Linked DNA regions of Daphnia pulex. The protein of the gene in region 2 interacts with the protein of the main gene of each other region in a pairwise test. Links are inferred from orthologs where the notes say so. Each region holds a gene or a part of one and is shown on either strand. Other genes may lie near its edges.

Region 1 (4,679 bases), on a different chromosome or scaffold from region 2:
AACGATTATGTAGGTCAATTATTACACCAAGTGACTTTTAAACAAAAGCAGCCGAGTTCTGGAAAAAGAAATGGAATGCATTCAACCGATTTTCAATGCTGACTCCAATTTAATATGTAAGAAAATGGCGATTAGTTTTTATACGCTACGAATACCCTTCATTCCACCTATAAATTATGCCCCAAATTTTTATTCTTGGCACGTTGTCGGTACTATTAGTTGTTCTATGTCTATGTCAATACGACCAAGTCTCTATGTGTACGCCAGGAAAACTTACATTCATTACAGACATGACATAACTTCTTATTTCTCATGTTCTCATTTTATAATCGGGATATTTTTTCCGGGGAAGTTTGGTTAGCAACAACAATAGGACCGCGTGCATCTCAAATAATTTTTCTTCTGTCACGGAGCAGAAAAAAAAATGCCTTGTCATCCAACATTCGTTCAGTTTCTTTCAATATTCAAATACAATTTGTTGCATTTGCTCGATTTCACAGCCGCGCGTCTAAATTCACGAGCCGAAAAATTGCCATGTCATCTAACAGAAAACATTCCTGTAGTTTCTTTTAATATTCGTCTGCGAATTAATGCATTAGGGTCCAGATTCACGAAGTTTCTGTTTTACGTTTTTGGCATCATAAACACGAAAAAGAAACTTGGTAGTGGGAGACAGGTTGAAAAGAAAGAACTTTCACTGGCCAAGAGCCCACTAGTCTTGCCACAGTTCTCAATAGCTTGGGGAGCTCTGCAGATCAGATATCTGACTTGGGAAAAACAAGCAGTATCAAACCAACTTGAGCAACATTCTAGTCATCACGTGATCACGCCAACGACAAGCTTATTATTACTTTTTTGTTCAGTAATAATTTCAGAACAAGACCATATGCTTAGTTCAATGCCTCACTAGTGAAACCCCCGGATTAAAAGTTGTTTAACGACCCATTGTATCAAGTAATGTCTAGCTTTCATCCTGAATCACCAAGAAAATGCTTAAATGTCAATGCTCACGTAAGCTCTTAAATACACTAGATTAAGAAAATTAAAGAAAAGTTCTTACCTTTCCAGTAACACGAGTAACCACAACATCGACAATATCGGTAACATTTCACTTTAACTTTTCTTCATGAGATGGATAACGATAAAACAATTATAAATTAACAAACTGCAGCAGCTCTGCATTGAACCGTATTTTGAAGTTCACTGTCGGCATGTAGTGCACAATTATTCTACGAGAACTATTTTCAGCAACCGACACGTTCAATTGCAGAACCACTTACTGAAATAAGTCTCACGCCGACAGCGGTAGTTGGAAAACCTTGTTTTTCACGCAGACCTTACTCTAATTTACTAAGATTTTTTACACATCAATTCTTGGACTTGCTTCATTACCTAAATTAATTGGTAAGTTTAATTTGAGCGTAAAAAGAAAAGTAGGGTGTAGGATAATAAATAAAACACAACCTTGACCAGGCAAAGCATGTATTTAACTCTCGTTTCATATTGGAAACTACGGTAGTTAATCGACACCAGCCCAGTAAATAGACGAAACACTCCTTAGGCAGCAGCTTGGGTGGGAGGTGCTGCTGCGATGTCGGACATCTTGGCTGCTTTAAGTTCCTCTGCGATGTGTGTCTCATCTTTAGGTTCCAGGATGGAAACATTGTCTGGCAAAGGTCTCTTGGGTCCGTTCTTGTTGTTGGGATCCCACGGCAACATGATCTTAACCTTAATACCAAGTACTCCTACAATAACAAAGATGATTAGAAAGATTCCTCCCAAGTCAATATAATGCACAATAAATTACCCTGGCGAAGCAAGACGTGTCTGACGGCAGTGTCGACGTAGACGTTGGTGGGTTCTCCACTGTGGATCATCAGACCATCGACGAACTTCATGCTCTTGGCTCGCTGACCTCGAAGTTTGCCAGATACAACAACTTCACAACCCTTAGCTCCAGACTCCATGATGAAACGGAGAACACCATAACAAGCTCTGTGTAACAACACATTACATCAGAAATGCACTATTTAAACGTCAGCCTATTGAATTAGCTTACCTGCGAACAGCCAAACCACCAATGAGTTTGTAGCGCAGGGACTCAGCTTGGGCAATAGCACACAAGCCACGAGTAGCAACCTTCTCAGCATAGAGCTCAACAGTTCCCTCTTGGAAGCCAAATCTCTTTTGGACAACAGATGTCAACTCGCGAATGCGACGGCCTTTCTCACCCAAAACATTCTGGGTACGTGTAGCCAGAATGATGATTTCTGTGCGAGTGGGGGCAAGGCGCACCTAATAGGAAAATGGGTTTTAGATATCTACACAGTAACAAAATAATTTCACAAGAATTACCTCAACTCCAGAATAACCATCTTCGGCCAATTCACGGGTCAAGAAGGCGTTCAATTCAGCCTTGAAGACACCTCCCGCCACAAACTGTAATACAAAATTATAAGAAAATTAGGTAAACTCAAGCACACTGACAATAGAAACATGTCAAGCCAAGACGAATTTTATCCTCCAAAATCTTTCACATCCTGGTTAGAAACTGTTCTATTTCATCAATAACACCTCAATATTCAAACGGTGAATATGTGAGAACAAGATGAAAAAGATTCACGTGTTGAAAGAATTACTTGCCTTTCGTTTTTTCGAGATCTGAGCCGTAGCCATTTCACGTATTTTAAGACCGGTCTACGAGAGGAAGAAGGAATACACAGTACTTTTTCTGTAGACGAAGTTGACAAGCCCAGCATTGCCTCCTTCTCAACCCCCTCTTTCGGAATTCATCTTCCCACATAATTTATTTCAGTTTGCTTTTTAAAATTTTTTCAACTATCATTATAGAAATAATAAATTATAAACAAGTTTAATTGGTTCATATTTGTTTAAAAGATTTCAAAAGTTTTATTGTAGATTTTCCATCTGTCAACTCCGACAGGAAGTCCGAAATTCAACAGCGTTGGACGAAATCAAATGTTATAAGTAGGACTGTAAAACGCCATTTGAAGCATGTGAAGCTCCCCCATCTGGTTTGATTGCTGCTAGCCAGTTTTGTATTCGTTTCGGTAAATATCTTATTTAATTCATGCAACTAAGACTGAATTTTGCATTCCTTTGAACCACACTAGCTCTACTTAGCTTATAGTGGCCAAGCGGACATGCTAAATTAAAATTTATTCTGATCTACCGTTGTCTCCTTATTTGGAACACATGGATTGAACCGAATTAAAACATTTGATAGTAGTAACATAAAGTAATTGATGTTGAAGGCACTGAGGCACACTGTGGATAATTTGTTGAAGTGTGCTTTAAATGGTTTTCTATGATGTTGAAATGCTAATTCTTATTCTGTTGTTGTACAGGAACCCTCACATCGCTACCTGAAGTTGCAGATTTCCTGGTGAAATAATTCTGTTTGGTGTATTTTATAGTATCTATATTGACAAATAAACAATTTTTAAAATTACATTCTGGCAAATTGTAACTAGTGAAAATTAAAACAAATTAATTTGTAGATAACTATATTCAGCGTTAAATTGTTGGTTGAATCATGGTTGGATGATGAATCTCATCAAGAGACAGGCTGTTGCTATTCTAATAGATTATGGCTTTTGACTGAGATAATATAATGTTAACTGTAAGTAGGGTACCATGAAAAGCTGTAAATATTAACATGTAACCTTTTACTTGATTCTTGTTTTTACAATCTTACGATTCTGTTTAAAAGGGGTTCCTCGTTAGCACATAAGCCTACTTTTCGCACTGAACTCGCTCATGAAATCATTTCTTCCTGATATGGTTGGGATAAATTATATTGGTAAAATTTTCAAGTTCGCATCGATGTATTGGACCACACACTTGTTAGCACGGGAATTTTTAGACGAAGGGAAAATTGTAGCCTAAGAGAACATTTTATCGAACAATTTCAAGGGCAGTTGAAACCCATTTGAGTTATCTGAAGTTATGTGCATCCAAGAGCTGTTTAGTAGTTTTCTGAAAATCACAGCTTTATTAGAAAGTTAATGGACTGTTTACTTATTAGTCCTTGTCTTCATCTTTGTAGTGGCGGTATTCCGGTTTCAGTTCCCACATGTTTTTGTGAGGATTCTTCAAATTGTATACACAAACATCCTTCAAAATTTCCTTGAGGTAGGTCTATAAAAGCAGAGGGTTTTAAAAGTGCAAATGCTTGTATGAAAACAACTTTTTCTTACCACAGGTTGGTTGGTGAGTTTTACCAAGTCCTTGATGTTGTAGTACTGATGCTTTTCAAAAGCTGCAAACAGCATGTCCATAACTTTGCCCTTATCATCTCTGGCTTTCTTACCCTCAGCTTTCTTCTTTTCGTCGAATTCTTTCTGTAATCAGGAATAAAAGGTTATGATGTACCAAAAATAGACGAGAATTGCTATATTTACATTATGCTTGTGGTCAGAGATGGGTTTGTAACTTTGAACCACTCGATCCAATTGCTTCACAATTCTTGTAGGTTGGGCAGCTTTAATCAAAGAATCCCTTTTGAGTTTCATGTAACTTGCATTTGCTGATGAAAATAAAAATCATTAATGCTCACTTCAAGCTTAGGAACTTTATTTTGTTGGTCTCACCTGTTGGTCTACATTCAAGCTTCTGGGCAACTTTGCCTTCAAATATGATCTTCTCAGTTTCCATAG
Region 2 (5,780 bases):
GAGATGTATCTAAAATTCAATCGTGTCATTGGAGCTCTGCTATGCGCGTCGTCACGTTTCTCTGCCGAACCTTGGAGTCTTAGATCATCACACTGTCTAGTACATAGGAGATCAAGTCACGGTCATCTCACAGAAATTATCATCAGCAATCTAATAAAAATACAAACAAGTTACGACAAAATCCCGCTGTGCAATGCACGAAAGCGAAGTTAACAGAAGGTTACGTAACAAATGTCGATTATATATACGGCATCACTTCGTTAACTAGTTGATACCATTTATTTATTAACTGTGTCTTGAAAGCTGAAAATACTTCACTTCATTGGCCATGAAGTTCAGATCCCTAATTGGTTCTAGACTTCTTCGGAAACGGCTTCCGTCGCAAATTTGCATTCGGCTATTTGAATTATTGATCCAGTTTAATGAGGCATAAATTTTTGAAAGTCTTTCAAAGTAAAGACGGACCCTGCGCTCCATGCGATAAATACAAAATATGAATGGAGCAGCATAGTACATTAAGAATGGAACAAATTTAACAAACATTTGTTTTTTTATATAATGAAAGAAAGTTGTTTAAACAAATGCCATTAAAAAACGATGACCAATTCTTCGGCTCTTCTCAGGCGTTACTTGGCATTAATTATTTCCTCGTCGTCCCTTTTCTTAGCTGTCGGTCACTTTATTCGGCTGCCAAGAAATGACTTTTATCTCTGAAAGGAAAGCGTAAGAGTAGCTAGTCACCACCGAGTTCTGTTCTGTCATACAGCACCACATAAATTAGTAAAAAACCACTAAGTGTACTGGTGTGGCTTTTGAAAATGGGTCGCTCGTATTGTCGTTAGTAATTCATAACAATCTATCAAAAGTGGTAAAAGGACTGTGTTTAGTTACCCGAAGGGTTACTGGTCAAAGTTTCGTTTGCAGTATGGTTTACATGGGCACCCTCAGTTCTCGTAACACTACATAGATGGATGCACTAGTTTTTGGCAATTATTGATTGTAATCAACAATTTTATTGCATTTCAATGGCAGTAATCGGTAGCTTACAATTTTTTACATCTATTCTGAAAATTTGGCTGCAATCGATTCAGGCATTTGATCAAACGGAGTTCTGGTTACTTTTTGACAGAATTTCAATAGCTGTTACAGCAGACGATAATACAGAGACATGTGACAGGGATATAAACGTAACGTGACAATCGACTACTATTGTATGATAGAATAGAAGTCACTGTATGTTATCACCGAACGCTATCAATCTCCAGTAACAGAAGTGCTGATAGGTAGTTACTTAAATTTAATTTTAACAAGATCCGGTGTGACGTGGGGTGGTGGGGCGAAGCCTCCGCCGCACCAAAGTCACGCCTTACCCCTACGCCGCGCCATATCATATTAGGTTTTTTTGGAATTTAATTTTTATTTAATGTTTGGATAGAAACATGCGGAAATATTCTTTTAATCTCTTTCTCGATTTTTGCTTATTACAATCTTCCGGAAACTAAGGGCATAAATTTTTTTTAAATGTTATTAATCCATCTTAATAATAGGCCTACCTTTATAACGGAATATTTTTATTATTCTATAACTATTCTATAACTCTGTCTTTGTAAAACTATACCAATACTACTATACCAACTAGAATACCCTTAACATTCCCTTCGGGTACCTTGCGGCGTACGTACGCTGCCTACAGTTTTTGTTCCACAATTAACTATTTTTCGTTCCGTGTAAACGCCATCTCTGTACGATATCCAAAGTTCGTGTAATAATTCGTTGAAAAATGAAATTATATCACCAAATATGATTGTGAATGTTTTTCGGCTAACCGTATTCGATTTTTTTTTACTCCACTCCACCACAATAACAGATAAATATCAAAATTTACGCCAAATTTGCAATTAAAATAAAACATTTTAAATCTGGCAATCACTTTTCACTGCTCTGTGTTGAGCAGACGAATGTACAGGTTTTAGAAGCGTGAAGGATTGTGGTCTTGTACTTGCATGGTACTTGTTTGACATTTTTTGTGAAGTCCGTTGATTTATTCAGTTAACTACGATTAGATCTATTTACACTATCGGAAAATGGTACGTGAAGATTCTTTTAGTCACATTAATAACTTTTTGAAAATAATACCATGATAACATTTCGTTTTGACATCTCTTTTTGACAGCCCAAAACAAAGAAATTTATAGACAAGAAAAATGCAGTCACCTTCAACTTGGTACATCGAAGTCAAAAGGATCCTCTTGCCGCTGACGAGCAGGCTCCTCAAAGAGTTCTAGTTCCAATTGCTCTGAAACCAGAAAAAAGTACTGAAATCCCTGCATCCTCTAAACCAAAGGTATGAATAAATCAAAATAAACAAATCAAAATTAAAGGGAAGTGTGATTTATAAAAGGTTTTAATATTCAGGATCCTGCCCAACAGAAAGAAGAACTAGCTAAACTTGGAATATACTTTGATGATGATTATAATTACCTGCAGCACTTGCGTGATGTTAAACAAACTGCTGAATGGGAACTGGCAGAAGATTCTAAAAATTCAAGAGTCTGGAAAGCACCAGTTGCCAGAGGACTTTCAGTAAGGATCTATAGGATTGGCTGTATGATAGAACTATTAGTTGACATTTTTTTTTCTATTTGTGGTTAGGACCATCCCTACAAACTTGCCCTGCCCTCCTCAGTTTTCCAATCAAAAGTGGAAGAAAAAGTTGGACTACTAAATAGAGCTGCTCCCCACTCAGGTTTTCATTTCTTTAAGCCTTGAATTTAATGTCAAAATTTGAGAAAGGATTTAAAAGTTACTGAAAATTGTAGGACCGAGGCCGGACTTGGACCCAGACATAGTTGCAGCTTTGGACGACGACTTTAATTTCGATGATCCTGATAATGAACTAGAAGATGACTTTATTGCATTTGCTAATGGAGTACCTTCTGACGTTGAAACAGAGTATGTTCTCGAGACAATTGAATTGAATTTGGATTTGCTTATATTCATTTTATAATTATGATTAATAGCGAAGATGATGGCTCCAGTGGTGACGATGAAGAAGAAAACGACGACGTATTGTGTGACATGCGAAGCGACTCAGGACAACGTTCACCCGATTTCAATGACGATAACAAATCGCATTTTACTGAATATTCGATGACCAGTTCAGTTATCAGAAGAAATGCCCAGCTCTCGTTACTAGACGACAGATTTGAACATGTATTCTGATTTGACCACTTTCATTTGATTCAAAGATTACAGTATTTATGGATTTTTATTTGTAGATGATGGCTCAGTATGACGACGAAGAAATGGGCGCTTTAGATTGCGAAGAGATCGAAGGACACATCACCTTACAAGACGATGAAGTGTTGAAATTGGCTGCGGCCTATGAACATGACAAGACAGAAGGCATCAGATTGGGTCGTGAAATTGGCAAAGTAGTAAGTTGCAGTTATCTTTTATTTATTCTCAGGTTGTGAATATCGACGTCATTCTTGTGAATCGAATTTTAGGCAAGAGACGAGGTGGAAGGAGCTGTAGAAAGGTACTTGGAAAAGTACCAGAGCGACGAAGAAAATGACAGCAGTTCAAGTGAAGAAGGTGAACAGGAACGTAAATGGGATTGCGAGTCTATCCTGTCAACTTACTCTAACATTTACAATCATCCTAAACTCATTTCTGAACCACAGAGTTCCAGAATTATTAAAGGTTCCAAGAAATTTAACTTTGGTGTCCATAAAGCTCAAATCTAATTAAAAAATTTCGTTTGATTCGTAGTGTGTCCCAAAACAGGTGTTCCCCTTAATGTCCTGGGGAAACCCGGTCTGACCAAAAAGTTCTTAGATCAACTCGATCAACAAACTGAAGGGACCAAAAAGAACTGTGTCGAAACGCAGTCCATCATCAGCACATTATCGACTATATCCATTCGACCAAAAGATGAAACACCAGAGCAGAGAACCGAAAGGAAGCGACTTGTAAAAGAATATCGTCAAGTAATAAGCGACAAATGTTTCGTGTGTCAGTTTTCACTATTAATGTTTGAATTTTATATTTTCTTAACAGGAAAGAAGAAAGGAAAAGAAAGCCAACTCGTTAGCTTTCAAAGAAGAAAAGAAACTACAAGAAAAACAACATATAAACAACCGTAAAAATGTTAGTGGCATTAAATTGTTGTAGTGGTTTTTTCAAACTTCGAATACATCGCCAGATGTACATTCACCACGACGCATTTGTTCGGAGGTTTTGGAATTATTTGTAAACGGTTCAATACATCAGCACACACGTAACGCATTTGTATTCCACTTGCTCGACCAAACGTGCTAGCGACATACAAAATAGGAGGAATGACATATTACCAGCCGTTCAGAATGTTGTTAGTAAAGTGTGTGGTGGTGTGGTGATGGTTTTAAGGAAGGTAAAGGTTTGGAAACATCGAGCGACGACGCTGAAGAGTGGAATGGTTGACAGGTAATAGCATACTAAACGTGACTAGCACAACGCAATCCAATTCTATAAGTAATCTGAACAGCCAGATAAATGACATGTATCAACGACATCCTTAAAATATTCAAGGGATTCGAGTAAATCGAAATATTAAAAAAATTTAACTAAACGTTTAGCCATTACCCGCAACTGCCCCCATTAAACATTTGTTTTTCTAGTAAAGAGTTGAGACAGCGGTTTCTCTACTCCCCACATAGGGTAATTGACGAAGCTTCATTGAACCATCAGAGCCACAAGAAAAGAGTCGTCCTGACGTGTCCAGATGAATCTGTTAAAAATTGAACAGCTATTCAGTAATTCCCACACATTTACAAAAATGTAAGGACATACTTGATTTACGCCATTTCCTTGCCCCATGGAACGGAAAAAGGATGATCGTGAATGTTCAGCAGGAAACGCGTAAAGTAAATGTTGTGTAGCAAGGCTCCAGACCTTTCAGTGAATACAAATCATTACAACTTCCATATTGGTTGATAAGAACCTTATATACCTTGATATCACCGTCAGCAGATCCAGTGGCAAAGAATTCTTCATTGGGATCTAACGCCATGCATTTGATCGCAACAGAAGAATCATGCGCAGTGAACTTGTGACGAAGTGTTCGTTGTCTCAAATCCCATAAGCAGACGATTCCTTTGCGGCCAGCCGATATCAGGAGCTGATGCTGAGACGCATAGAGCAAACTGGTGCCTCCGTTTTCGTGACATACAAATGCTGCAGGGAAAATCATCAGAAGAGTCGTTAGCGATATTCAAACCTTACTGACGTTAAAAGGAACCAACTTACAGTGAATAATTGCTTTGCGTTGGGGCATTAGGGTGTCCCATAAAACGACGTTGCGGGACTCTGAACTGTGACCGGTTGTGGCCAAAATACTCGATGACCCCAGAAACACAAAATCTGATGTCCCCTTGCTGTGACATTGATGTGACTGTTAAATGGTTTAAAAAAATTAATTAATTGCCGCAATCGATCACAGTCTACCCAAACTTACACAAAGGAAGTAACGGATGGGCCGTCATCCTTCTTACTCCATCCACCTTATGTTTCCGTAACTAGAAAAAAACAATAGATTGTTAACATTAATAAAAAGTCAGACTTGACTTCTATCAAGCCAAAGTCATTATTTAAACCACTGCAGATGAGAGAAAACGCCATTAAATTAGCATAACATTGATTTTTGGTAGAGGCACAGTGGCACACACAGTAGTAAAAAACAAGAAGATGAGACAAAGCAGAAAGAAACGCTAGCTGTTACCGGTGTTAGTAGTAGTTTG

What was found. The genes of interacting proteins can lie anywhere in the genome.
Region 1: the proteins of protein LTV1 homolog (region 2) and 40S ribosomal protein S3-A-like interact in a two-hybrid assay, tested with the Caenorhabditis elegans proteins (2 studies listed by BioGRID). The link is inferred for Daphnia pulex from reciprocal best matches to the Caenorhabditis elegans genes T23D8.3 and rps-3.

The regions. Positions count from the first base shown.
Region 1 is NC_060025.1:408,135-412,813, reverse strand, and holds 40S ribosomal protein S3-A-like, read right to left. Parts: upstream 2,790-4,679; 5' UTR 2,677-2,789; coding exon 2,644-2,676; intron 2,440-2,643; coding exon 2,356-2,439; intron 2,296-2,355; coding exon 2,060-2,295; intron 1,996-2,059; coding exon 1,808-1,995; intron 1,746-1,807; coding exon 1,558-1,745; 3' UTR 1,466-1,557; downstream 1-1,465. Other genes in the region: general transcription factor IIF subunit 2-like, read right to left, coding at 4,045-4,161, 4,221-4,364, 4,425-4,549, 4,614-4,679.
Region 2 is NC_060017.1:1,279,729-1,285,508, forward strand, and holds protein LTV1 homolog, read left to right. Parts: upstream 1-1,930; 5' UTR 1,931-2,084; coding exon 2,085-2,087; intron 2,088-2,173; coding exon 2,174-2,344; intron 2,345-2,415; coding exon 2,416-2,583; intron 2,584-2,652; coding exon 2,653-2,746; intron 2,747-2,819; coding exon 2,820-2,952; intron 2,953-3,020; coding exon 3,021-3,213; intron 3,214-3,278; coding exon 3,279-3,437; intron 3,438-3,509; coding exon 3,510-3,705; intron 3,706-3,774; coding exon 3,775-3,992; intron 3,993-4,062; coding exon 4,063-4,176; 3' UTR 4,177-4,224; downstream 4,225-5,780. Other genes in the region: dmX-like protein 1, read right to left, coding at 4,658-4,771, 4,834-4,935, 4,994-5,217, 5,290-5,317.